6 linked regions of the Sus scrofa genome follow. The protein of the gene in region 1 purifies or fractionates together with the protein of each later gene. This does not show direct contact. Links are inferred from orthologs where the notes say so. Each region holds a gene or a part of one and is shown in the gene's direction. Other genes may lie near its edges.

What was found.
Region 2: the proteins of STIP1 (region 1) and ACLY fractionate together in Homo sapiens (co-fractionation; 3 studies listed by BioGRID, with this or other methods). This does not show direct contact. The link is inferred for Sus scrofa from reciprocal best matches to the Homo sapiens genes STIP1 and ACLY.
Region 3: the proteins of STIP1 (region 1) and HNRNPDL fractionate together in Homo sapiens (co-fractionation; 3 studies listed by BioGRID, with this or other methods). This does not show direct contact. The link is inferred for Sus scrofa from reciprocal best matches to the Homo sapiens genes STIP1 and HNRNPDL.
Region 4: the proteins of STIP1 (region 1) and BAG2 purify together in Homo sapiens (affinity purification with mass spectrometry; 3 studies listed by BioGRID and IntAct, with this or other methods). This does not show direct contact. The link is inferred for Sus scrofa from reciprocal best matches to the Homo sapiens genes STIP1 and BAG2.
Region 5: the proteins of STIP1 (region 1) and VCP purify together in Homo sapiens (affinity purification with mass spectrometry; 4 studies listed by BioGRID, with this or other methods). This does not show direct contact. The link is inferred for Sus scrofa from reciprocal best matches to the Homo sapiens genes STIP1 and VCP.
Region 6: the proteins of STIP1 (region 1) and CCDC117 purify together in Homo sapiens (affinity purification with mass spectrometry; 5 studies listed by BioGRID and IntAct, counting the BioPlex papers as one, with this or other methods). This does not show direct contact. The link is inferred for Sus scrofa from reciprocal best matches to the Homo sapiens genes STIP1 and CCDC117.

What each region holds. Positions count from the first base shown.
Region 1 is NC_010444.4:7,910,943-7,915,000, reverse strand, and holds the end of STIP1 (stress-induced-phosphoprotein 1), read left to right. Parts: intron 1-1,902; coding exon 1,903-1,939; intron 1,940-2,150; coding exon 2,151-2,254; intron 2,255-2,450; coding exon 2,451-2,623; intron 2,624-3,065; coding exon 3,066-3,138; 3' UTR 3,139-3,558; downstream 3,559-4,058. UniProt on the Homo sapiens protein: Acts as a co-chaperone for HSP90AA1. Mediates the association of the molecular chaperones HSPA8/HSC70 and HSP90.
Region 2 is NC_010454.4:20,831,178-20,834,677, forward strand, and holds part of ACLY (ATP-citrate synthase), read left to right. Parts: intron 1-1,020; coding exon 1,021-1,148; intron 1,149-2,208; coding exon 2,209-2,302; intron 2,303-3,359; coding exon 3,360-3,500. UniProt on the Homo sapiens protein: Catalyzes the cleavage of citrate into oxaloacetate and acetyl-CoA, the latter serving as common substrate in multiple biochemical reactions in protein, carbohydrate and lipid metabolism.
Region 3 is NC_010450.4:135,805,530-135,807,950, forward strand, and holds part of HNRNPDL (heterogeneous nuclear ribonucleoprotein D-like), read left to right. Parts: coding exon 1-45; intron 46-175; coding exon 176-290; intron 291-816; coding exon 817-987; intron 988-1,319; coding exon 1,320-1,390; 3' UTR 1,391-1,412; exon of another isoform or gene 1,413-1,789; 3' UTR 1,790-2,421. UniProt on the Homo sapiens protein: Acts as a transcriptional regulator. Promotes transcription repression. Promotes transcription activation in differentiated myotubes. Binds to double- and single-stranded DNA sequences. Binds to the transcription suppressor CATR sequence of the COX5B promoter.
Region 4 is NC_010449.5:28,670,498-28,673,997, reverse strand, and holds part of BAG2 (BAG family molecular chaperone regulator 2), read left to right. Parts: intron 1-2,975; coding exon 2,976-3,085; intron 3,086-3,500. UniProt on the Homo sapiens protein: Co-chaperone for HSP70 and HSC70 chaperone proteins. Acts as a nucleotide-exchange factor (NEF) promoting the release of ADP from the HSP70 and HSC70 proteins thereby triggering client/substrate protein release.
Region 5 is NC_010443.5:235,856,873-235,859,712, reverse strand, and holds part of VCP (transitional endoplasmic reticulum ATPase), read left to right. Parts: coding exon 1-63; intron 64-413; coding exon 414-526; intron 527-922; coding exon 923-1,087; intron 1,088-1,180; coding exon 1,181-1,303; intron 1,304-1,563; coding exon 1,564-1,776; intron 1,777-1,979; coding exon 1,980-2,288; intron 2,289-2,563; coding exon 2,564-2,719; intron 2,720-2,840. UniProt on the Homo sapiens protein: Necessary for the fragmentation of Golgi stacks during mitosis and for their reassembly after mitosis. Involved in the formation of the transitional endoplasmic reticulum (tER).
Region 6 is NC_010456.5:45,994,506-45,998,436, forward strand, and holds the start of CCDC117 (coiled-coil domain-containing protein 117), read left to right. Parts: upstream 1-1,131; 5' UTR 1,132-1,279; coding exon 1,280-1,461; intron 1,462-2,084; coding exon 2,085-2,141; intron 2,142-3,931. UniProt on the Homo sapiens protein: Facilitates DNA repair, cell cycle progression, and cell proliferation through its interaction with CIAO2B.

The sequences.
Region 1 (4,058 bases):
GTTAAGTATCTTCACATTGTTGTGCAGTTGTCACCACTGTCCATCTCCAGGACTTTTTCATCTTCCTAAATGGAAGCTCCGTGCCTTCTAAACACTTAACTCCCCATCCTTCTACCTGAGCTCCTGCAACCACTGTTCTCCTTCTGAATCTGATTGCTCTGGGGACCTCTTGTAAGTGGAATCATACGATATTTGGCTTTTTTGTATGTGGCTTATGTCACTTAGTGTAATGTTTTCAAGGTTCGAGTTGTAGTGTGTGTCAGCATTTCTTCTTTCCTTGTCTTGGCTTTTTAGGGCAACACCCGTCGCATATGGAAGTTCCCAGGCTAGGGGTCGAAGATCTTAGTTTTGCTATTATTAGGTGCTATTGTGGCTGGATGGAGAGTCACTTCAAGAGATATGCTCATGAATTTAGAGATCAAGTGCTAAAATACATCATTTCCTTTCACAAATGGTTCAGCAAAAATGTGCCAATGCACAACTGCCGGCCTATACCACAGCCACAGCAGTGCAGGATCCAAGCTACATTTGTGACCTAGAGCACAGCTCATGGCAATGCCAGATCCTTAAGGATCGAAGCTGAGTCCTCATGGACTCTAGTCAGGTTTGTTATTGCTGAGCCACGATAGGAGCTCCCCAGCATTTCTTTTTTTAAGGCTGAGCTACAGTCCACTGTGTGGACAGGCCACCTGTTTGTCAGTCTGTCTGTCCACGGACCTTGGGTTTCCACTTTTCAGCTGTTCTGAATAATGCTTCTGTGAACGTGGGTGTACAGATAGAGTTCGAGTCCCTGGTTTCCATTCTCAGATACTGTGTCCGTTGGTGGAAGTACTATCTCCGTGTCTTTTGAGGAGCTGCCCTATTTCCCACAGCAGCTTTGCCATCCTTCCTTACTCCAGTTGATGGGTCTGCTGTCTTCCGGCGCAGCGAGTGTGGTCGGGTAGGATGGATGCTCTTCCGACACCTAGAGGAGCTACTTCTGTGGCTCTCTGTCTAGTGACAGCAGTACCTGAGCTCTCATGGTTTTGTTTGATGCTCTACTGTCTTGATGTAGAGGCACCAAAACAGTATCAGTCACCTAGAGGTGGAGCAGGACTTTCCCAGGCTGCAGATGGAGGAGGGAGTAAATGGAATCACGTCTGGCCTTGGAGCTTCTTGGGGGAAGAGTTTGACGTAGGCTTCGGTGCACGTACTACACGCATAGCATTCTTTTCCCCATAATTTTATGTTTTGAAGATACTTCAGGCAAAAATACACAGAATACTTAAGTGTTTACCACTTTCACTCACATGTGAGCATTGGCACATTTTTGCCGAACCATTTGTGAAAGGAAATGATGTATTTTATTAGCACTTGATCTCTAAATTCAAGAGTATATCTCTTGAAGTGACTCTCCATCCAGCCACAATAGCACCTACTAATAGCAAAACTAAGATTGGTAATGTCATCTATTATGTGTGTATATTCAGATTTCCCCGTTTGTCTGAAAAATAGGTTGTCAGTCTCAAGGCCTATCCATGTCACCTGGTGATCATGTCCACTTCAGTTTCTCAAACTGGTTTTCCCACCTTTTGTGTCGTCGTTTCCCCGCCCCCTCCCCCGCTCCACAACATCAGCCTTTTGAAGAGTCCGGGCGCTTCGTCCTAACACAGAACAGTCCATGGTCCACGGTCTGGACTCTCGTCCCTGGTGGCTCTGCTGACCTTGCTTTCTCTGCTGTCCTTGTGCCAGGCTCCTGTCAGTTGTCCAGATGCCGGGGTTAGGGAGCACTGGGGTCAAAAGTAGAATGTTCTGTGATGGCTGCGAGTGAACAGTCAGATTTGTAATTCCAAATAATCCACCTGCTCTAAAGTAACTTGACTGAAGGAAGAAGCCTAATTCTTTTTTGCCTTTCCTTCCTAGGACTGTGAGGAGTGCATCCAGCTAGAACCTACCTTCAGTAAGTGCCTTTCTGGGCTGCTCCTCTGTCCCTGATGTGCCAGAGAATTGAGAGGAGGAGAGAGCCTGCTCTTTGCCTGTGTCTTTGGAACCTTGCGTGTTTACAAGCTCACATTGGGCCGGGGATGCTGGTGTTGAGATAAAGGGGTGGCAGAGCAGCCTTCAGAGGTGTGTTTGGGGTGATGTCTCACCGCTCCCCTCTCTGCCTACAGTCAAGGGCTATACCCGGAAAGCAGCTGCCCTGGAAGCCATGAAAGACTACACGAAAGCCATGGACGTCTACCAGAAGGCGCTCGACCTGGATGCCAACTGTAAGGTGGGGCTGCGTCTGGCCTTCGGCGAGCTCTCCCCACCCGCCACTCCCCTTTGTGTCTTTGCGGTGTCCTTCACCCACCCCTCCTCGCCCGATTCTCTGTAGTCCGTCCCCTTCTCAGTGGCTTCTGTTGGTTACCTTGCCAGCAGTGAGCCGGGCAGTGCTAACGCCCTCCCCTTTTGGCTTTGCTGAAATGCAGGAGGCCGCCGACGGTTACCAGCGCTGCGTGATGGCCCAGTACAACCGACACGACAGCCCGGAAGATGTGAAGCGGCGGGCCATGGCCGACCCTGAGGTGCAGCAGATCATGAGTGACCCAGCCATGCGGCTCATCCTGGAACAGATGCAGAAGGACCCTCAGGCGCTCAGCGAGTAAGTCCGGTTGGGGGCGGGGTGTGCAGCCTCAGCAGGAGAAGGCGGACAAAAGCAGGGAGGGAGGCACATGTTGGCAGCAGTATGATGGGGCTGGGTGGGGACGTCTACTGTGTAATTCTTATTCAGGAGGTTGGCAGTGGTAGTGAGCTAGCGTTAGTGATGACGGCTCCAGCACTTCGTTGGGAAGGCCACTTTTGCTGGGGGAAAGGTCTCACTCAGCTGAGAGCTGTTGTCTGTGGACTCCTGCGCAGTGGGGCGGGCCAGGTTCCCAGCGCCGGCAGAGGGGGCCTGTGCGGTTCTCTGCTGGGCGGTCTTCACAGTTCCCCCTTCCCCACCTCCTGTTGGTGGCCTCAAGGGTTTGCAATGGAGCTTGCTCTGCGAGCAAGTAAATTTTTTAGGTAAAGTCTCATTTCAAATAACTTGGCCTCTTCTTTATCAGACACCTAAAGAATCCTGTAATAGCGCAGAAGATCCAGAAGCTGATGGACGTGGGTCTGATCGCAATTCGGTGATGACATGTTCGTCATCCCCCTTCCCTTCGTCCTCCTGTGGAAAGAGGAGCTGGGACGGCGGCACGCAGCACGGAGCAGAAGGGAGAGGAGGGGAAACAAGCGAACAACTGCTATATATTTATACAGACCCCTGTGGACGATGCAGAGACTTACACTCCGTTACTCGTGCAGCCGCTGCCTCTGGGCCCTCCCGGCACACGCATGGTCTCTTCTGCTGCCCTCGAGTTCCATGTCTCCTTCCCCTGCCCCCAGTCGCTGTCTCAGCTGCTCTCCCATAGTTGGTTATTTTTTATTTGGGACAGTGGGCTTGTATGGGGAGGGGAGGGTGTGCTTCCCAACCTCAGGTCCCAGCTGTTCTCACATTGTTAACTCCACGTCCTCTTCTCCAATAAAACAAGCCAGTCAGGCGTGGTTATACAAGGCTGTGTCCCTAATTTTTATGCCAAAAGATTTTGCTGTCCTGCGGGGTCACAGCCTGGGTTGGCAGAAGTGTGAGTGCAGATTGGCTCCTGAGAACCAGAGCCTGTCTGTCTGTCCTCAAGGGGTGGGGTCTGTGTGAGCTTGACCTGGTTCCACAGCCTAGTGAGGTGGCCGCTAGGTGGTGCTGTTGCTCAGTGAACCATTGGAGGGAAATCGGAGGCTCCAGCCCAGAGAGGCCCAGCTCCTGAGGTTCAGATGAACTTCCAGTTCTCCACATTCTAATCTCAAATCCACAAACCAGTTAGACCCAAAGGATGCTGGATCTCACCCGTGAAACAAAACCAATTTCCATTGCAAGAGATGCTTCAGACCTCCCTTTTGGAGAGCTGAAGTCTGTCAGCTGCTGCTTGTTAAGTTTTACTTCTTAACTCCCTGCCCTGGACTGAGCCTGAGCACTTTATCATGGTTGCAACAAACTTTCTAAAACCTTGGCCTGGGGT
Region 2 (3,500 bases), on another chromosome or scaffold:
AGCCGTCGCTGATTCTCTTTCTTCATGGCCGCTTTCCCTTCTGCCTCTACAGTCGGGAAGAGCTCCTTTCTCCCTCTGCCGGGTTTCTCTCACCCACTTTGCATGACGAGCACCCCACCTTCCCACCCTCACACTGTCCAGGGCACCTCCAGGCAGGCAAGGACCCTGCTTTTCTTTTTCTGGTCAGGCAGTCATCGTTGCCCCGTGGGCAGGGCAGGCAGGTCTTTGAGGTGTTTTATTTTTCCTTTTTCTTTTTTTCTTTTGATTGGGCTGGCATGCGGAAATTCCCTGGCCAAGGATCAAACCCACACAGCTGTGGCCCAAGCCAAAGCAGTAATATCACTGCATCCTTAACCTCCTGCTCCACCAGGGAACTCCTCCATCTCCTTCTTTCTTTATTTTTGCTTTTTAGGGTCGCACCCTCGGTATATGGAGGTTCCCAGGCTAGGGGTCTAATTGGAGCTGTAGCCGCGGCCTACACCACAGCCACAGCAGCGCCAGATCCAAGCCGCATCTGTGACCTCCATCACAGCTCACGGCAATGCTGGATCCTTAATCCACTGAGTGAGGCCAGGGATTGAACCTGCCACCTCATGGTTCCTAGTCAGATTCGTTTTCTGCTGAGCCACAACGGGAGCTCCATGTAACTTCACTTCTCACAGCTGCTCAAAACTAACCACCGTTCTCCGTCTGTCTCTCCACCCCCTTTATCCTGACCAGTGTCCCTGGGAAAGCGAAATGGTGGTATTTGTGGATGCGGGAGCCAGGTTTTGTATCCTGGTGCCAGGGCAGCAGCTGTGTGACCTTGAGTAAGCTCCTGGACCTCTCTGTGCCTTCGGTTCTCATCTGTAAATGAGAGTCAACCACTGTGCTGTTTAGAGCTCTCCAGAGGGTTGAAGTGATTTCACGTAGAGTGCCGAGCCGGCCCGGCCTGTCATCACGGCTGACACTCCCAGGAGCCTTTGTCCTCTCTCTCAAGGGACAACAGGCCTGGTAGAACCACTGTCCTTTGCCTTCCAGGTGCAGTTCGGCCACGCTGGAGCTTGTGCCAACCAGGCTTCTGAAACCGCAATAGCCAAGAACCAGGCTTTGAAGGAGGCGGGCGTGTTTGTGCCCCGGAGCTTCGATGAGCTTGGAGAGATCATCCAGTGAGTGAACTCTGCGGAGGGTGCCACCTCCTTGTCCCTTTCCAGGTCCCTCCTGAGGACAGCAGCCTCTTCAGAATACAGGTCCGATGTCCCTGGGCCATCTCAGGTGTCTGAGGCAGCTCTGTGGATCGTCCAGAATTCTTTCTTTTTGGCTTTGTTTTATTTGTCTCCAGAAACAGCAGTTACAGGCGTTCAGACTGGTGTTAAAATGGTCAGTTTCTGAGCCTACCTACTGGCCATGTATGAGAGATGAGCACGGAAATATTTAGAAACTGTCACCTCTAATCAGTTGACAAAGAGCTGTTGGACAAGCTGTGGTCCCTTCCCACTCCTCCCCTCTGTCCTTCCTTGGCCTCCAGATTCGAAAGACCCACTCAGAAGGGAGGCACAGTTCTTGGCTAGAACCTATTTTCATTTAGTTCTCAAGAATCTGGAGCGCCCACTGTGGCACAGCAGGATCGGCAGTGTCTCTGCAGTGCCAGGAGGCAAGGTTCAGTACCTGGCCCAGCACAGTGGATTAAAGGATCAAGCATTGCTGCAGGTGTGGCATAGGTCTCAACAGCAGCTCGGATGCAGTCCCTGGCCCAGGAACTCCATTTGCCACTGGGCAGCCAAAAAAGTGGAGAGGGCGAGGGTTACAAGTTGCGGCTCAGCGGTTACAAACCTAATACCTGTGAGGATGTGGGTTCAATCCCTGGCCTCCCTCAGTAGGTTAAGGATCGGGCATTGCTGTGAGCTGTGGTGTAGGTGGCAGACGCAGCTCAGATCCCCCATTGCTGTGGCTGTGGTGTAGACCGGTAGCTGTGGCTCCAATTCAGTCCCTGGCCTGGGAACCCCCATGTGCTGCGGGTGCAGCCCTAAAATGGAAAAAAAAAAAAAAAAAAAGGGTAAAAAAAAAGATTCAGCTGGTAAGAGTAAGCTGCTGGTAGGAAGGGATACGAAGCTGGAAAACCTGAAATTTGGGGGTTAGATGAGAAGCGTTTGCGGGATGGCTTAGAAGAACCCAAAAGAGTAAAGTCCACATGGATGTCTTTTCTCCCTCCTTCCCCCTGGCTCCCAGGTCCGTGTACGAGGATCTTGTGTCCAGAGGGGTCATCGTGCCTGCTCAGGAAGTGCCGCCCCCAACGGTGCCCATGGACTACTCGTGGGCCAGGGTGGGTACTGCATGTGCAGAGTGTGCTGGAGTTCGTAGGTGGCCCTTTCTGACCAACGGGTCAAATGCAGGGCTTAGGAGGGCAAGGGGCCACGTGTGTCTCCTGTAGCTGTGTGGCCTGACCTGGAAACGGGGGGTGGGGACAGACAGTGTCCCCTGAAGCTGTTTATACCTGCCAGGAGATTTCAGGGCAGAGAGTCCACTCTGCCTGCTTGTCTAAGGCAGGGGCATAGATGAAGAGTGACTGTGCTGGAGTTCTCGTTGTGGCTCAGTGGTAACAAACCTGACTAGTATCCTTGAGAACATAGGTTGATCCCTGGCCTGGCTCAGTGGGTTAAGGATCCAGAGTTGCCATGAGCTGTGGTGTAGGTTGCAGACGCGGCTCGGATCTTGCGTGGCTGTGGTGTAGGCTGGTGGCTATAGCTCCGATTCGACCGCTAGCCTGGGAACCTCCATATGCCACGGGTGTGGCCCTAAAAAGACAACAACAACAACAGAAACAGATCGAAGCATTTCTTAATGTTCAGAAGGGATAATTGGCAATTAGTTAATGCTACCCTTGTTGTGCCCCAGCTCTGGAAATGGAAGATTTAGGAGCTCAGCCTCCTCCCCCAGGAAAAGGACACATTGAGGGGATCCCCTATTTCTCCAACCTCTGCCTTATTACACTTTGGCGGGGGTGCTTGTTAGCTGCGTGTGAAGTATTGACACTTCACTTTTCCCCTTTGCGTTCATGCTTCCATTTCTTAGCCAGGTGACCTGGGTCCGGTGTGAGATCAAATAAACCAATGGGTGCCCAAAGCTTACCGCCGTGCCTGGCCCTGCAAATACTACGGAAGGGCCAGAAACAGTGCCGAGGCTGAGCGGGTGCCCTGGCGTGGTCGCTCTTGCTTTCTATGCCCCAAATGATCTAAGAAAAGGGTTTTTGCGGGACCTTCTCGGGAGGACTCTGAGAGTCATTGCTTGACCGCCAGAACTTAAGACACCCTTGGGGCAGCCCCAGGAGAATCTCGTGTGGTCACCATAGCCCGCTTGCCTCTGCCCCCCTCTCTGCTCAGGAGCTGGGCTTGATCCGCAAACCTGCCTCGTTCATGACCAGCATCTGCGACGAGCGAGGACAGGAGCTCATCTACGCGGGCATGCCCATCACCGAGGTCTTCAAGGAGGAGATGGGCATCGGCGGGGTCCTCGGCCTCCTC
Region 3 (2,421 bases), on another chromosome or scaffold:
AAGAAATTGTTAGAAAGCCGATATCATCAAATTGGTTCTGGGAAGGTAAAGCCATTTTGACTCTCTTCAATGAAAAATATGAGGCACTTTTTTAAGTGAAATTACTCAGCCTCTTTTGAGAAGGTAAAAAATGGCTCGACTTTCGTAACAATTCTATTTTTAATTTTGGTTATAGTGTGAAATCAAAGTTGCACAACCCAAAGAGGTGTATAGGCAGCAACAGCAACAACAGAAAGGAGGAAGAGGTGCTGCAGCTGGCGGACGAGGTGGTACTAGGGGTCGTGGACGAGGTGAGACTTTGCCTGGGAAATGCCTCAGCGGTCTGAGCTATAAGCTGCCAAATGTGAATAGGCCCATAGCAAAGTCAAGTCAAATGTCAACTGTTCCAACATGGAAAATGCTCAGCTTGGTGGGTGGATTTTTGTTATTAAAAGAATGGCCACTCTGATGGTGTCATTGCTGATGGGGAAAAAAAAACACCATTAAATGTCATGTTAACGTGGTGATGCACTTTGGTGTAGTAGGTTTTCAAGGGCAAGAGTCCTTATTTTAAACCTAAACACCTTTGTCTTCACCTTTGTTTTTGTCCTGATTTTTTTCATTAAATTTAAGAAGCCTGATGCTGGCACAATTGGACTTTCTGCGCACCCCCCCCCCCATGGTAACTGATGATAATACTTTCTTGATCAGATAGCAATGTAGATGACCGTTCTGCTTTTGTTAACTTTTTGCAGAGTGAGAGACAGGAACTCATCATTTTATGTTAGGATTGGAGGTCAGAAGGTATTTCCTAACAATCATTGTGCATTGTTTCAGGTCAGGGCCAAAACTGGAACCAAGGATTTAATAACTATTATGATCAAGGATATGGAAATTACAATAGTGCCTATGGTGGTGATCAAAACTATAGTGGCTATGGCGGCTATGATTATACTGGGTATAACTATGGGAACTATGGATATGGACAGGGATATGCAGACTACAGTGGTAAGAATATTTAACTTAACTTCATAAACCAATGGTACGAAAGTTCAGTGCTGAAGTACAGGCCCATTCTGAGGCTGTGGGAGGGGAGGTTTCCTATTGAAGTGTTTGCGGAGTTACTTTTTTGAGGCATTTAATAGTCATGGGAAATGATACTGATTTTGGTCACTGCAGCCATTCTAGAATGTGATGTGGTTAGTTGACAATGCCTTTAATATCTGACTGTTTTAATAGTGGGTATGCAGAATTTTGCATATTTAATAGTCTTTAAGATGCATTTATAATGAAAGCATTTCATTTAAAACTGAGCATCTTTTTTTGTCTTTTCAAAATAGGCCAACAGAGCACTTATGGCAAGGCATCTCGAGGGGGTGGCAATCACCAAAATAATTACCAGCCATACTAAAGGGGGACATTGGAGAAAACAGGTGTGTATAAGCGTTCGAGAAACCAGTGGAAATGTCTAATTTAATTTAAAGATCAATAGACAAATGAAAAATAAGTAAAAACAAAATATCATGTAGTCTGTTTTTACTCAATTGTTTACTTTTTAACTTGCATTATGAGCCTGTTTTGCCTAAAGTGTCTATAGATCTTTAACTTTTAAAAAGTTTTATCTCACTTTTTTTAGTATTACAGAAAAACTTAAGAGTTTTTCTGTTTGCTTTGTGTACCAGGTGGTCTAGAGGAGTAATTAAACTTTTTTAGAACTATTAACAGGTAAAGTACTGAAATGGGTACAACTTAAGGAAAACAAGAATGTTGTCTTCTAACTCTGACATTATACCTTGTTTGTACCCGCCAGCGGGAACTTCATTGCAGGCCGTGTGTCACCCTGACCACGTCTATCTCTGGGGGTCGCACGTTGCGGGCAGAGCGCAAGGCATACACCAGAAAACGCTGTCCTGTGGTATGGTCTCTTCCAACTTCATGTACCAGCGTAAAGATTAAAGTGGAAAACTTCAGACTTTGGCTTCTTTTTTTTAATCTTTTTGAAGATTAAGTGTCTAAACTTAACTTAAATGGTTTTTTACAGGAGTTAAAGTACATAAATGCCTTTTTACAGCTTAATCATTTTGGTCTTCTGTTTAGTGTTGTATTTCAATTGTGGAGCCTCATTTTAAGTGTTCATTCTTTAAGATTTAATGCTTGCTTTTTCTTTTTATAGCTAATAGTGAAATCTACAAACCAAAACAAGAACTTTAAAATCTGGGATACAAATTAAAGATCATATGCACAGAGCAATTTGTTTTCTTGCAATACAAGCCTATTAGAAATTTGTGTTTGTAATTGCATTGGACGTGGCTTACTAGAGATGCTTCTAGTAGACCTTGATCTAGCACAGTTCGACCTGTGAATATGGGAAGATGGCTTTCCCAGATTTTCTAAGTAAATTTAATGGCATTCGGGAACTCCAGGGTGCATTTACTAATTACC
Region 4 (3,500 bases), on another chromosome or scaffold:
GCTTCGTGTTGAAACTTACGCTCATAAATGGGCCTCCTTCTGTAGAGTAACTCTCAGTTCTCTCTTTATCATCCTACATGTGCATACAGGCTCAGGAGGGCTGGAAAATTCATCTCTTCTGTCGGCATCTTCTCATTTACCAATCAAGTAATTCTTTGGTGCCATTGAAATGCTGGAGTCATGTTTTGTTTTTCATGAATGTCTCATTTTTGGTGCCAAGCTGACCCTTTTGGTGTGTGCCAGGCTCTAGAGTATGTGCCTGAGGTTCCCTAGGTTATATTAGAAGATTCCAGTTTCTATTCCCTAGTGTGTATTAAAGGGCACGAGTCTGTAATGAATGGGCTGGAACACAGCCTCATGCTGCGCTCTTACTGTTTGATAGACTATTGGTTTTGATTGCATTTTCCAGCTAAATTTGTCACATAAGATTCTTCCTCGCTCTTTGCTCCTGCTGGCTCTTATAAACACAGAGTCCAGCGTATATTTAGTATCTTGATGAATTCAGACCCTGTGACTACCGTCTGTCTGTCGGTGCTATTTCGGGGGACAACAGGTGGGTGCCCATTGGGAAGAAGGCCTGCGTGTGGCTGGTGGGGAAGGGCCATCCGTATATGGCCTGTGCTCACACTGCCTGGTGGTTCCTTCTGCGCCCACGGAGGGCACGGTCGGGATGAGGTCTGTGATCTTGTGCTTCCAAGGCCGCCTGAGTGTTGGAGCTACATCTGTCACTATTTATTTTGCAAAAGTCAGCAACTTGTTTAGTTGTGGTGTAATATATGTAAGAAAATGCCCTGGAAACAGAGCACCTTAAACACACAGGATTTTGTTTTCTTCTCCCCTGATTCCACAACCTGGTTCTTTAGTGACTGGCTGAGTCCGTAGTCGGTGCCTGTGTAGGGTTGGGGGAAGTGGTGCTTTGATAGTTTGATTAGGGCATCGTACCCAAAACCCACAGAGGCATTCTCTTTAAATTCGGAGAAGGCAAACATGCCCTTGCTCATCACCATCGTTTGGGCTTTTTTTCTTTTTCTTTTTTGGCCGCCCCAGGGCATGTGGATTCCCAGGCCAGGGATCAGATCCGAGCTGCAGCTGCAACCAATGCCACAGCTCAGCAACACTGGATCCTTAACCCACCGTGCTGGCCATTGTTTGATATTATATAGGAGGGCTTTGGTCAGTACTATGAGAAAGAAAAATAGGAGCTAAGAGGATTAAAAAGGCACAGATAAGGATTATCGTTTTTGCAGATGATATATATGATCATCCATCTAGAAGAACCAATGGAATCAAAAATCAAACCATTAAGTGAATAAGTGTTAAGGTGGCAGCTACAACATGAACTACAAAAACAGCATTTTTTTTTCCAACCAGCAATAGCCAACTAGAAAATGCAGTATATAGAAATGTATTATTCCCAATACCAACACTATCCAAAGTATCAAAACACTTAAAAGAGTCTGTACAACTACCATCAGTACTTCAGGGAGTTCCCGTTGTGGCTCAGGGGAAACAAATCCAACTAGGATCCTTGAGGTTTGATCCCTGGCCTTACTCAGTGGGTTAAGGATCCAGCATTGCTGTGCTTTGTGGTGTAAGTCGAAGATGCGGCTCAGATCTGGCGTGGCTGTGGCCGTGGTGTAGGCCTGCAGCTGCAGCTCCTATCTGACCCCTAGCCTGGGAACCTCCATGTGCCTCGGGTGCGGCCCTAAAAAGAAAAAGCAAAGGGTGTTGGTATAACAACAGGCACAGTGCCGAAAGATGGAATAGAGACTTCAGAGGCAGACAATCTACAAATCATTGAGGGAAAGATGGATTTGGGGATGGATAACGTTGGAGAAAATGGTTCACTATATGGAGAAAAAGAAACACATCTCCCCTAGCCACACACACAAGGTGGATTCTAGGTGGATTAGGACATAAGCATGGAAAGGTGAAGTCAGACGTTAGTAGACGGGGGTGCAGGAAAGCGTCTCAGGACCTGGGGAGGGGAGGGCCCTGCAGCAAAACTTCCCGATATGAGCCGTGAGGTAAAACCAAACCAAGCAGAGATGGACCTGACCCCTTCAGAACAAGGCCTTCTGCTCCATGAAGGACGCCCAGACACACTTCACAGGGGACAGGATGGGAGAAGGTGGTTGCAGGGCCTGTCACCAACAGGGCATTAACGCCTTGAGTGTGCACATGGCAGGGGGACAGTAACCCCAGTGTGCAAAAAGAAAAAGCAAGATAGGCAAAGGCTGCGAACAGCCTCACAAGGATACGGAGAGATGTCCAAAGTGATGAGTAATGAAAGAAGGGCAGATTAAGTACTGACGCAGCACCTACTACACTGACAGCAGAAGGTTAGAAAGTTGGGAAATGCTGAGCTTTGATAGGGCTGTGGGGACCCAGGGGCTTTCTGGAGAACAATCCAGAATGGAGCTGCATGAAGGGTCCGCACACCCTGCGAGGAAGCCGCCCTGCCCTGGGATGGTGCCTGTTATCAGGGCCCCGAGAGGACAGGTTGTCATTGACCTGTTACTGGAGGTGACGAAAAACTGGCGCCGAGGTACATCTCTACTGGGTCGGGGAGGTCAGGTCAGGTGGGGACACAAGGTGGCATTTTATGCGAGACCTAGGAGCTCCTGATTACACGTACTCGGAGGAACCTGGTGCTTCGTCATAAAATACACTGCGTGAGGGCAGAAACAGTGAGATATAAATAAGTTGAAAATAGGCGAGCACACAAGTATTCCGTTTTTTTGTAGAGCAAATACAAATAAATAAACGCTAAACAGAACTATTGCCCAGTGAGTGGGGAGGAAAATGGGAGCAGCAGGGCAAGTGGATTAAAAAGAAAACTTAAAAGCACAGAAAACAAGGAATACGGCATTTTTGGTTAACCATCTTTAACCGTGAGTTGGACTGAGGGATGGGGAGATGAGGCAGCCGTTCTGCTGTCTGGGTTATAACATCTGGCCCCCCTTGGTCCCCAGGGTGGAAGCTCTGCGAGAAGCGGCCACTGCCGTGGAGCAGGAGAAGGAGGTGCTGCTGGAGATGATCCACAGCATCCAGAACAGCCAGGACATGCGGCAGATCAGCGAAGGTGCGCTGCGGGGGGCGGGGGGGTGGGGGGGTCCTGGGGGTGGGTGGGGGAAGGGGGGCATCAGCAGAGCCACTCCTCCAGCCCGAGAGCTGCTCCAGGTCCATGCTTCCAAGAAGGGCCAGAGCTGTGCGGGATGTGAAAAGCAGTAGCGTCAGAGGGTGAGAGGTTGGGTGGAGGTGTCACTTAAAGGGGAGAAAGGCAGAGAAAGTGGATTATGGACCCAGTGACACCCGTTTCCAGAGGAAGAGCTTACTGCCCAAGAAGAGATGGGCTTGCTGGGAGGTGATTCTCTGCACACCCAGTGGTCCTCCCAGCCTGGCTCCCCGGGCTAATAGTTGCGTTGCTGGTGTCGTTCAGTGAGCGTCTAGCCCAGACCCAGACTGCTACGCAGCCTCAGCAGGGTCAAGATGTCAAG
Region 5 (2,840 bases), on another chromosome or scaffold:
ATGTGATTGTCATGGCAGCAACCAACAGACCCAACAGCATTGACCCAGCCCTACGACGATTTGGTGAGGACCCAAAATTTCTTTTTTGCAGTCCTTACTCATGGGACGATGATGGCTTTACTGGTTTAAATCCTGTTACTCCCATATTTCTCTGTCATCTAAGTCACCTAATCCTGAGGATTTCTTAAAGCTCTATGCAATGTTAGGGCCCAGGGGTCCTTTTGCTTATTTCATGTGTCTAGGGTGACCAGCCATCCTAATTTGCCTGAGACTGAGGGATTTCCCCGGATATGGAGATTGCAATGCTAATTCCAAGAGATTCCTGGGTAAACCAGGATGATTGGTCATCTTAGGCCTGCCCCTTCTTCTGGACCAGAAATGAACCCTATCTGTTTTTATGCATTGTCATACAGGTCGCTTTGACAGGGAGGTAGATATTGGAATTCCTGATGCTACAGGACGCTTGGAAATTCTTCAAATCCATACCAAGAATATGAAGCTGGCAGATGATGTGGACCTTGAACAGGTGGAGTGGTGATGAGGGCTGGCCAGAAATTAGGATATCTGTTTCCAGGCAGTTGAAGGGAACTGAGTTAGGGACATAAGCTTAAAATGTGAGGAAACTGATTTTGATTCCTGAGCAGGGGAAGGGAAGTGTTATGAAATTGAATCCAGGAAATTAGAGTTGGCATGGTTTCTTGGTTGGATTAGAGTGAAGCAGAATTTTGGGGGCAGCTTTATTTCCAGGCCCCAAGTCCATGTTTGAATACTTAAAACCCAGTTAGTGAAAGTACTGCTAGTATGTGTTCAGGAAATGGAGGGCCCAGAGATAGGAGTCAGGGAAAGGGGCCAGAATTCTTTTGTCTCCGAGCTTCCTAAGGCAGCTCAGAGACAGGATAGTAAGTAGATCTTCTCTTTGCAGGTAGCCAATGAAACTCATGGGCATGTTGGTGCTGACTTAGCAGCCCTGTGCTCAGAGGCTGCTCTGCAAGCCATCCGCAAAAAGATGGACCTCATTGACCTAGAAGACGAAACCATCGATGCTGAGGTCATGAACTCCCTGGCAGTTACCATGGATGACTTCCGAGTAAGGCACTGCTCTCATATCACAGGTATACACACACGTGCACTTTGATTTGTCCCCTTCAAGTCTCATCTCCAGTTTTTCTTCCATTTTTAGTGGGCCCTAAGCCAGAGCAACCCATCAGCACTTCGGGAAACTGTGGTAGAGGTGCCACAGGTGACCTGGGAGGACATTGGGGGCTTGGAGGATGTCAAACGTGAGCTTCAGGAGCTGGTCCAGGTAGGGTATTTAGTCCACGGTGAGTCTCTACCTCAGTCCATTGTAATTGAACTGGGTAGTATTGGGGTGTTGGCACATTCATTGCAGAAATTGTGAGCATAATTCAGAAACCTACTATCCTCAGGTTGGAGGCACTAAGGAGCCTGCTTTTAGGGAACCTGGGTCTTGTGCCATGGGGTGGTTTGGGAGGATCTTCTCTTTGGTTAGATTTCTTTCCAACTCTGAGGATATCCCTGAACCCACCTTTCTTTTCCTCCTAGTATCCTGTGGAGCACCCAGACAAATTCCTCAAGTTTGGCATGACACCCTCCAAGGGAGTGCTATTCTATGGACCTCCTGGCTGTGGGAAAACCTTGCTGGCCAAAGCCATTGCTAATGAGTGCCAGGCCAACTTCATCTCCATCAAAGGTCCTGAGCTGCTCACCATGTGGTTTGGGGAATCAGAGGCCAATGTTAGGGAAATCTTTGACAAGGTGAGCTACAAGTGGCTGGACTGTCAATTCACTTGCCTGGGGACAAGTTAGGGATAGAGGCTATTTCTTTGGGAGAATTGAATTTAAAACCATCTGGTTCTGGCACCTCAGCTGGGGCAGTGCAGGTCACTTTATTTTCCGTTCCTTCTCAGGTCAAGAGACCCAACTGTGCTAATGCTTGAGTCCATCTGTCCCTCACACAGGCCCGCCAAGCTGCCCCCTGTGTACTGTTCTTTGATGAGCTGGATTCAATTGCCAAGGCCCGTGGTGGCAACATTGGAGATGGTGGTGGGGCTGCCGACCGAGTCATCAACCAGATCTTGACAGAAATGGATGGCATGTCCACAAAAAAAAATGTGTTTATCATTGGCGCTACCAACCGACCTGACATCATTGATCCTGCCATCTTGCGACCTGGCCGCCTTGATCAGCTCATCTACATCCCACTTCCTGATGAGAAGTCCCGTGTCGCCATTCTCAAGGCCAACCTGCGCAAGTCCCCCGTTGCCAAGGCAGGTGCAAGATCTTGGGTCTTGGGGATTTCTCTGAATCCTCAGGCTAGTGTAAAATTCTCTTTGGTTCCTGGACAAGATTCCTTTGGGGATTTCTGGGGTTATGGTTTAAAGGGAAGATAGAAGACTTGAGGGTATTAGGATAATCTAGAATTAAGGAGTAAAACAGGGTGGCAGAAGATGGGACACACTGAAATTGAGAGTGCTTGATTGAAAGATCAGTGTATCACTGGAGAAGAAGCTAAATGCTGAGGTAGCTCTGTCGCTTCTTTTAGGATGTGGATTTGGAGTTCCTGGCTAAGATGACTAATGGCTTCTCTGGAGCTGACTTGACAGAGATTTGCCAACGTGCTTGCAAGCTGGCCATCCGAGAATCAATCGAGAGTGAGATTAGGCGAGAACGGGAGAGGCAGACCAACCCATCGGCCATGGTGAGTCTGTATCCTTTCCCCAGATGTGCCAGTTATGGGGAGCCAGGGACAATCTCCACAGTGCCCTGGAGTTAAGAGTACAAGGTTTTGGAAAGATCATCTGACTGAGATGTTCAACAGA
Region 6 (3,931 bases), on another chromosome or scaffold:
AAAGGCCTTACTCACTGATTAAATACAAACAAAAAATACAGGTGTCAATGATGATGCTTAGGGTTTTAATTAGAAAGAGAAAAAAATCTTCTGACAGATGAAACTGGCCTGTAATATCAGGTGAACCCTGGTGTTTCATGTTAAATAATTTCACAGAACATCCGCATCAAACCAGCACTAAGATAATGGATCAAGATAAAAACAAGACCACTTTGTAATCAGGTCTGAACACAGACAAAAATGTGAACATTGTCCAAACCACAAAAGTGACCAAACATCTCCCATCTTGGCTAATAGGAAGGACTGCTGTTTCTTTACCAGTTATACATTTAGCCTCCCTTCATTCCTCCCACCTTCTAGAAAAGATTGCCTAAATACCCGTACAGCAGAGCCCTGCTTCCTGGAGCCCTCTCCCAAATCGCCTATGACACACCCAAATCCAGTGAGACTCCTTTCCCAATACCTTGTTCCTGGCACCCTCTCTCACTGCCTTATCTCAATAAATCCACCTTTTGTTCAAATGTAGGTGTATTCTTGGTGGTCTTTGGCTGAGGGGCATTGATTTTGGTTTAAGGAACTCAGATTAGATGACCGTGCTGGTGCCGCTTCCTGAGATGGGGGAAATGGGTGTGATTAGTGGTTGAGATGACCAACTCGGATGGCCCCTCTGGCAAGTCCTGGACCCAGATTGTAAGGCTTGCCAGGATCTCTCACAAGCGCTCTGAGGTGTTCTCTGATCCTCCACCCTGTTCCTTCTAAGGCATTACCAACTTCATTTATGTTGAAACAGAAGGAATTAGCAGCTCATTTTAAATGTGTACCAGATGCCAGGGAGTGTTTGAAGGGCTCTAGATGTTTTCATTCATTTACTTCTCCTATCAGCCTTATGAACGTTGATACTACTATTTTTGGGTTTTACTGATGCGATACCTGAGGTTCAGAGGTTCCCTAACTTGCACAGCAATGATTCGAACCCAGGTCTTACTCCAGGTTGGCCAGTGTCACCCTGGACTCCTGGGTAACTAGGCCGAGGCGGCCATCTTGCCTGTGGTATGTACGGACTGCAAGTCCCGGCAGCCCTCGCGGTGGCAGCCTTCTGCACACAACAAATCCCGGCCTGCCCCTGGGCGGTCCGGGGTGGAGGGTTCTAGAAGGAGTGACGTGGGGTCTGGAGCGGGCTCGGAGGCGGGCGCCTCACGGCAGTAGCTGTGGCCGCAGCGCCGGGCCTGGGGACGTGGGCGGTCGGGGCCGCGGACGCAGCTTCCTCATCTCCCCGGCCATGGCCGCGCTTGGCCGGCCCTTCAGCGGCCTCCCCCTGAGCGGCGGCTCGGACTTCCTGCAGCCGCCGCCGGCCTTCCCCGGCCGGGCCTTCCCGCCGGGGGCGGACGGCGCCGAGCTGACCCCGCGGCCGGGACCCCGCGCTGCCCCGAGCAGCCCCGGCGGGAGCGCGGCGCGCGGACGGTGAGGAGCCCGGCGGGCGGGCAGGCGCGGGCTCGTTGACACTCCCCACGACCCTCGGCGGGGTCTTCTCCGTCCCAGGTTGCTGAGGCAGAGAGTGAGCCCCAGAGTCCGTTACCGTAAGTCGCCTGAGGTCGCACAGCGCGGGCGTCCGGCTCGGACCTCGGGCTGCCTGTGCCTCGGTGAGTGAGGAGAAAGTCCCGAGTTCGCCCAGGGAGAGCGGAGATGGGAACCCGGGCCGACCCGAGCCTGGGTCGGACCGCGGGGCGGCCGCGGCTACTGGTAACCTTTCGGCGCCTCTCGGACACTGAGTTTCTTCATCCCCAACTTGGGACAGAAATGGGTCCTCCTAGTGAGATTATAAAGTGCTTAGCACAGTCCTTGTCTCGAATGCGTTGTTATGCCCCAGATAAATCTCCCACGGTTTCGACCAAATGAGAAGTTTAGATTGCAGTTTCTATGCATGTCAGGACCACCCAGCATTTATACCTGACTGACCTTGTTACCGGCACTTCCATCCCCCTCGGCAAGGAAGGGGACAGCTGATAGGTTTGGGCTGGGCAGGATATCGGAGGTAGAGTAGATCTAATAAATTTCTCATCTGACTTGATTTTTGTTTGTTTCAGCAGTGTTTCTGATCACTGTAGAAAGAAACACAAGCGAGAGGAGGAGGAGGATGATGAGTAAGTTTCAGGTGCCTTTTTATTCACTTAATGGTCACTTAATTTAACCTATTTTCTGTCCACAACTGCTTGTTTTAAGTGAGTTGAAATATTAGGTGTCTGTGAAAAGAGGCTCAGGGAAATAATAACGAGTCGCCTTTTAGAGAAGGGAGCTAAGCAGGTCAGAGGTAAACTTTTCACTCTTGGGCAATTGTAATTTTGAATTTTGAGCCATGTGAATATTATTACATGCACAGAGTAAAAGAATTCACAGAAAGCTACATATTGAAAAGTCTTAAAACTCTTTGCTCCCAGTTCTACCCAGAGGTTACATTTGTTACCTGTTTCCTATTTCTCCTAAGGAAGATAGTATAAACAAGTTTATAACTGTATACTTCTGGTTTTTTAGATTTGTAGCCCGATACTATTCACATTGCAACGCGTTGGTCTTTTCATTTTACTCTCCTGGGGCACATAGAGTTCTACCTAACTTTTTCAAAAGTTGAATTCTATTGTAAGGCTAGGTATAGGTCATTAAGCAGTCAGCTAGTGTTGGATTTCTAAATTAATTGGAACCTTTTGTTATTACTAACAGATCTACCATGCCTGTCATTTTTTTATTAAAGTATATTTGATTTACAGTGTGTCAGTTTTTGTTGTACAGCAAAGGACTATCATTCTTTTTAAGTTCTTTGTATATATTTGCAAGTAGATAAAGGAATTTAATTGTTGGATTTTAAAGCCTATGCGTTTTGAATTTTGAAGAAGAGTTGTTGTCAGTGTATAGGCCTTAGGCCTTTTATCAGTGGGTATGGCTGTTTCTCCATCTTCTCACCAGAACTGTATTTTCAAACTTTTTGATCACCACTTAGCTGTTAGGTAAAAATTGCATGTCATAGGCAGTCTAAATTTTTTTTTTCCTTTGTGTTTTCAGGTTCTCACCTGCAGCATATGGAGGCTCCCAGGCTAGGGGTCTAATCGGAGCTGTTGCTGCTGCCTATGCCAGGGCCACAGCAACGTCAGATCCTTAACCCACTGTGCAAGGCCAGGGATTGAATCTGCAACCTCATGGTTCCTAGTCGGATTTGTTTCTGCTGCGCCACAATGGGAACTCCTCATAGGCAGTCTAATTTAAGAGTAAGAGACTTCCTCAAAGAGGATATCCAAATAACTGATCAAATGGAAAGATGTTCAACCTCATCATTCTGTAGGGAAATGCCTCTTAAAAGCACAGTGGGAAAATGAGAGAAAACCACATCTTTCTGGACCCCATGTTGGTACCTCTCCCACCTTTGAGAGATAAAAATCCCTCTAGGACAATAGAGAAGGGGACTCGTCTCCCGCCTCCCAGCTGCCCTGGGAGCTATTTGCTTTTCTTTAATAAAGACTTTGCTTGCTTAAAAAAAAAAAAAAAAAGCACAGTGGCATAGTACTCTATCTACCACTGGTATTGGAGGGTTACAGAGCACCAGGAACTCTTCAAACACTGTGGATGAGAATATAAATTGATACTCTTTGGGAAACAATTTTGTGTTAGCTAATGAGTTGAAGGCATGCATACGTACCTATTTACCCAGCTGTTCTCATCAGGAGACACAAGAAAGTTCATAGCACCCTTATTCATGAGTTCAAAATTGGAATGTCCCAGAGTTCCCATTGTGGGCCAGTGGTTAACGAATCCTACTAGTAACCATGAGGTTTCTGGTTCGATCCCTGGCCTTGCTCAGTGCGTTAAGGATCCAGTGTTGCTGTGAGCTGTGGTGTGTCACAGACCCAGCTTGGATCCTGAGTTGCTGTGGTTGCACCGTAGG